Linked DNA regions of Daphnia pulex. The protein of the gene in region 2 interacts with the protein of the main gene of each other region in a pairwise test. Links are inferred from orthologs where the notes say so. Each region holds a gene or a part of one and is shown on either strand. Other genes may lie near its edges.

Evidence for each region. The genes of interacting proteins can lie anywhere in the genome.
Region 1: the proteins of metaxin-1-like (region 2) and metaxin-2-like interact in a two-hybrid assay, tested with the Drosophila melanogaster proteins (2 studies listed by BioGRID). The link is inferred for Daphnia pulex from reciprocal best matches to the Drosophila melanogaster genes CG9393 and CG8004.

The regions. Positions count from the first base shown.
Region 1 is NC_060026.1:12,796,497-12,799,663, reverse strand, and holds metaxin-2-like, read left to right. Parts: upstream 1-1,290; 5' UTR 1,291-1,404; coding exon 1,405-1,450; intron 1,451-1,512; coding exon 1,513-1,640; intron 1,641-1,699; coding exon 1,700-1,816; intron 1,817-1,870; coding exon 1,871-1,963; intron 1,964-2,035; coding exon 2,036-2,200; intron 2,201-2,258; coding exon 2,259-2,335; intron 2,336-2,398; coding exon 2,399-2,591; 3' UTR 2,592-2,667; downstream 2,668-3,167. Other genes in the region: transcription initiation factor TFIID subunit 4-like, read left to right, coding at 2,836-3,167.
Region 2 is NC_060018.1:1,526,737-1,529,956, forward strand, and holds metaxin-1-like, read right to left. Parts: upstream 2,050-3,220; 5' UTR 1,923-2,049; coding exon 1,836-1,922; intron 1,754-1,835; coding exon 1,607-1,753; intron 1,539-1,606; coding exon 1,269-1,538; intron 1,204-1,268; coding exon 969-1,203; intron 901-968; coding exon 746-900; intron 677-745; coding exon 644-676; 3' UTR 501-643; downstream 1-500. UniProt on the Drosophila melanogaster protein: Involved in transport of proteins into the mitochondrion. Essential for embryonic development.

The sequences.
Region 1 (3,167 bases), on a different chromosome or scaffold from region 2:
TTGAAAGTCGAGAATTTCTTGAATAAACTAAAACAAATGTTTGGTAGTCGATTTCTACTGTGTTATATAATTTTCATCTGGCGTTTCTTGTTGACGTGTGACAACGTGGCGCTGTCTGCATTTGTTATGAGAAGTCGCTCAGCGCCATCTTGCGTTGGGAGCCTTGCCTACATGGTTGGAAAATAATTTGGTGACATTGTCAGTCAATTCAATTGAGAGAGTTGGCCGAGTCCCGTTGCGTTTTTTATTGCTCGAAAGCGCATTACGTGCATAATAAATGCAGTCGGATGAAAAATATTTTCCCGAATGATAAATATTGAAATGTCAAAAGTCTACGACTCTTCTCCGAAAAAGGTTTGGTCTGTCTGGGCTACGATGGGACGGCGATGACAAGGTCTGTTGACACAAGGACGTCAGATAGCACCAAACAACGCGATTCCTTGAATTTCTAATACAACAAACAAATGAAAAAGTCTCGAAATGGACCCTCAACGAAGATCTTCGTCATTGTCTCGTGGAAAAAGTCGGCAGAGCTCCCGGAAAACGTTTCGCATATCATTAATAATAAATCCCCGAATAGTTTGCCTTATTCGAAGGCTAAATATAGCTTGAAATTTCACTACAAAAAAGCGGTCAATGAAAAACTTGTGAATAACTTGATGTTGCGACCACTTTCGGCATCCTGGAAACAAGATACTGAATTGTTACGGTTTTTTTTAGCATCAATTGGTATCAATTACCATCACGAGAAAATAACGCGCACTTCGACAAATAATAGAACTTGGGTCAGAAATCAAGTTTTTTAAAGGTAAAAATCAGGAGCAGTAAATTAAAAACAGATTTCAAAACACACAAAAACAGGTCGGTCCTAGAGGGAAATTTACGCTTGCAAAAAGGGAACTGATTATTATGTGGAGCACGACGACGTGTTCTAGCGACATTCGCATTTCGCGGTACGATGTGGCAAGTACATTTCGTAGAAATGCATTTAGAAGGGCGTTGAAAAGCAGAAAGTTACGTTACAGGTGAACATTTAACTATATTTAATATAAAAAACAAATTGGTAGAAATATTTATTAATTAATACATTCTCTATCAACCTGTATTTTCACAGCAAAACATTTTGAATTTTGAATACGTTTGATTACAAATATAATTATGATTTATGATGCAATAATTATTTCAATGACAAATTTTTACTACAATTCTTAAATATCTAGTTACTAGTTGGTCAGTAAATTAAGCTTATTAGAAAAATCCAATTTTGAAATTTATTTTGGGTTCATCATTTTTGCGTAATTTGGCAACTCTGAATAAAAACCGCAGCAGCCGATCTAAAAATAATTCCGTATTGATGTTGTGATTTTCTTATTTTAGCCGATAAAAGTTTAATTCATTACGATAATGCCATCAGTTTTACTAACAGACTCTATTTCATTAGAGCTTGGAGGTAATCATTTTGGATATTTTATATTTTCACATTTATTTCTCACTTTTAAAAAAACCTAATAGCTTTGGAACCTTGGCCTTCTGACGTCAAACTTTATCAGCCCTATGAAGTTGAACAAATTCTATTGCAAGATCAAGCCAATTCTTTGGCTGTCCAAGTTTTTCTGCGAATGTGTGGTTTAGAATTTCAGGTAAATTGGAAAACTAAAACTAAGGAAATCTTAAGTTATTGATTTATTTCTTTTCTTAGGTGGAAATGAGAAGCAATGCTGAGCATATGTCACCATCCGGAAAATTGCCTTTCATAAAATGTGGTGCCTTTGTAGTAGCTGATCTTGACCCTGTTGTCAGTTTTGTGAGCAACAAGGTATTTTCAATATTTTCTCTACAATCCCATTTTATGACGTGTTTTTTTTTGTAGGGTATAAATCTTACAGATCACTTGGATGCTGCTCAAAAAGCAGACATGAGAGCTTACATGTCTTTAGCAAACAATATATTGGGAAATGCAGAGGTATTATATTATTATATTTGTAACTACTTTTGTGTGTTATGTGATTGATGAGCAGTGTTTGTTCCTACTTAGTTATATATCAGCTGGTGTGATGAAACTGTTTTGAATGAAGTAACTGGTCCTCGTTATGGCTCTGTCTATTCTTGGCCTTTGAACACTCTGCTAACCTGGAGAAAACAGAAACAAGTAACTAAGAAATTAACTGCTCTTGGCTGGATTACCAAAACACTTGATGAGGTGATTTGTTTGGTCTAATAGTTTTTGCATTAGAAAATTATTTATTATTTTCCTGCAGGTATATGAAGATGTTGATCATTGCTGTAATGCGCTAAGTGAGCGATTAGGAAACCACCTTTATTTCTTTAATGATAGGTATTAAATTTTTTAAAATGGGTTTCTAATAAAATAAGTGCTGACTTTGTTCCTCGTCATTAGATGCACGGAATTAGATGCGGTTGTCTTTGGCCATGTGTTTACTTTGCTGACCACACCGTTGCCCGACAATAGATTAGCATCCATTGTGCGATCCTACCCGAATCTGGTCGAGGCTTGCCAGTTCCTTGAGAAGACTTACTTCCAGAAACCAACCGCCAAGACAACGGACGATGACAGCGATAATTTTGACTAAGTTCAAATAGTATAGGAAAAGTTGTAAAGTTTATAATAGCCCCATACTTCTGAGATTTACACGCTATTATATTTCATTGATATGATATCCTTTAGAGTAAGCACACACGCGGTTATTAAATACAAGAGTAGAAAATTCAAAAAAATATAGTAAAGGGTTTGAAAAATGAACACTAGGTGGTTTGACTATGCTAGGGGAGGAGTGACACGTTTCAACGTTTTGCCGCTAGGGCAGAGGTTGGGAAATGAGCTGCTTACAGTCAGTTTGGGAACCGGGTTCGGAGCAGAAAATGGCGTCTAGCTTCCTGGACGATTTAATCTCGAACCCGTCAGCGGATGCCGACGCTGTCTCCGCGTTAGTTGGATCACTTGAGAGCCAGTTGAGTAATGCAAATGTTGGTGCTAGTAATAACACACAAGGCGGCGGCTTGGCTTTTACGACAAGCTCTACCTCGTCGGTTCCTCCACCGCTGCAGCCTGCCAATACCCCGTCCGCTGCCACCACAACGGCAACATTCGCGGGAAACGGCAGTAGCCTGCACGCAACAACAACTTGCGCGCCAGCAGCATCAGTTCC
Region 2 (3,220 bases):
ATAAAAATGTGTGTGCAGAGACCCAACACTGCCTGGACGATCCGGGTGGCATGACTCGGACAAATTTCCCCCGAGAGTTCCCAACATTTAAGAAAGAATTACAATGCGCGACTGGTGAAAAGAGAATCATGGAAGAACAAAATGTACAAGTCATCATGAAATATCAGCTATATATATATACGTTCCGCATGAGAGCCCCATGAAAACGCTGAGAGCGTCGTCACTTTTCCGAACCCAATTCAGAGCATCACGGAACTGATACAGCGCGTCGAGAGCGCTTGTTTCCCCCCCCCCCCCATGTGTAGATCTACCAAAGTCCAAAGTTTACGTATCCTATCCATTGCGTCCGCCGAGTTTCCTTTCTACCATCCCACCCCTCATGTATTTCTTATTTTGTTTCCTCGACAGTAAAGTTTTCTTATTATAAAATAAAAAAAAAAAAAATTGGCAATCCTCCCCCGTATGAACACGATGAAATTGTTTTGATTTACTTGTTGGGCTTGATGACTAAATACACACAGATTTATTCGACTCTGATGGTATGGAAAGGCTTTTTCTTTTCAAGCTGGACTTGATCACATGTGTCTACTGAAAAAAGCATAATGAGTACGGACACTATTCATCCTATTGACGTGAAGTGCAATCACTCTTCATCCTCGTCGCTTTCAGGCACCACCTAATAAAATGCCGAATCACTAGGTTAGTGGGTGACGTATTAAAATCAATTATCGATTAATCGATTTACCTGTATGATGCCGGCCGATGTGGCATAGGCAATCATCGCGATGAAGGAAACTAGCGCAGCAATACTTATGTTCCGCAACTTGTTTGGAAAGTCAGTATCAGAATATGGAGCTTCTTGCTTAGCAGTTTGCTGTCGCTCTTTCTGTTCTTGCTCTAAAGCAGAAAGACAAAAAAAGAAGATGTATAAAGAATAGTCGCAGGAAACATTGAGAATTTAACTGTACCCTTGACTTCTTTCGGGAAAAATCGCTGCAATATACGTCCCACGAAGCGAGTGAGATTAGTACATGCTTTTAAGTGGTTTTGCAGAGCAGCACTGGGCAGGGGAGCTTTCAATAACGGAGCTAAGTGAGCAAATACTACAGCATCCAAAGACGAAGGCGATTGTCCAAAAAAATATTCTTTTTCACCAAGTTTAGTGGCTAAAAGGCTCAGACATTCTTCAGCTTGTCTATAAACCTGGCAAAAAATAAAGTCCCTGTTATACAAATAATACCAGTTTTAATTACGTCAAGTTTACTTACTGCTGTTTCAATGACAGAAAAATCCTCTTCTTCAGGATACAGTGAAACCATTAGTTGTTTAGCATGTTTTTCATATTGACCAGGATAATAGAAATTTAAAGGGAATGGTAAAAGCTTGGCATAAAGTGGACGACTGAACTCAACAAAATTTTTAGAATCAATCCACCACACAAATTGAAGTGCTGGAGCAAGCTTCTCATAAATGAGATGAGAGTATGCAAATGCTTCAGCACACTGTTTTGGAGATAGTTCAAAATCTGCAGTATGGTTCTAATTTTGAAAAACAAAAAATCTTTAATTTATAGATTAACAATTATATAAAAAATAGATTCCTATACATTCTTCCTGAGGTAAGCTGATATTTCACCAAATTTTGTCAGGCACTCATTCTCGTGTTGAAAAACTGGTAAAGAGCCAGTGGGTGTTCTTAAAGGATTATTGGTCGACTTCGTTACCAGCCGTGTTCCGGAGAATTTGGCATAGGTCTAACAAGAGTAAAAAAAAAAAAGAATGTGTTATCTAACGTGGATTTTTTGTTAAATTTTACCCTATTATTGTTTGCCTTACCATGACTTCTAAGCAATGAACGTCAATTGATGGTAGGCCCCATTCCCCTTTCCAAATATCAAGTTCCATGACTGGATGTGAAGCCATCACAAATATAGGAATGAATCCTTTAAATCCACAATTGTAACACGGGCTTTTTAAAAAAACAACATAAACAAAGTTACATGCTACAATCTCGGGATCTTGGCAAGTGCAAGCGTCTGCTAAGCTTACTTACTTTATAGATTAAGGGCCCAAGTATTCCTTTAAGAGTTGCGGCAAATTCTGAGCCATTTTGTCCTTCTCGCTAGCGCCTCTGGCGGAAAATATTTGAACGAATGATTATTAATTTAATTTTCTTTTTACAATAAACGAAAAATATTATGATTGGTACGGTTATATCTAACCCAAAAATTCAAAATTCAAATATGAAATGTTTAAAACAAAATTTTATGAAAACGTTACGCTGTATCAAGCGAAAGCGTCAGTGGTTTCGTCCTTGTAGAAAAATCCAATCTCTCGATGCACGCATGAGCTTCCCCTGCAACCCATACGCTCAAAAATATATAAAATAACAAGGAAAACCGTTTGATTTTCGAACGAACCCTCTAGTTCCTATCACTCTGAGTAGAAAATGCATTTTATCGGATGGTGGGTGGGGGACAGCTTCGTCTAGGATAGAATCCATATCGGAAAATGGGGTCGGAAATGCGGATGCGACATTGCGGCCGGCAGTCCCTCCCATTTTTAATCGAAGGGTTTCCCGAATTCACAATCGCGATCTATTCATTCATTTTCACATTTTAAGTTTTAAGTATTACATGGGCGGACCTATATACAGAGTAGCCTATTCAAATATGTTGAATAGCAGTTTTGGGGAATTGCCAATTTCCCATGTCTCATTTCATACTTCGTCCTTGTAAAACAAGATTCCCAGTGGTCATTTTACGTCACGACAACAAAATTCCAATCAGAGTTTTAGTTACACGTCTGCATTTTTTAGTCTTCAAGCATGAACATGAAACATGAATGCATGATATTTTAAACGTTAATTATTGAACTACATAAGCATAAGCCTTTCCACATGAACTGCCGGCAGCGAGCCTTTGGCTACTGCTTAGCTACATTTTCCGATCCATGTGTTGTTGGTTGTTGGTTTTTTCCATCCTTGCCCCAACAACCTTCAGAGAAAGTCTTGTCGCGTCTTGACTCTTCGTGCGTTGGCCTTCGCAGAAGACTCGCTGGTAAAAATCAACTGTTTGTTTCTTGTGCAACAACACCCATGAAAGACAAAACCTTGGGTTGACGTAGAATGAAGTAATTCCGTGAAAGTTTCACGAAATTTTGTATTAGTCATCCGTTCATTCATCACTAGCCATTCATAGAATCTGGATCTCTAAAAAAAC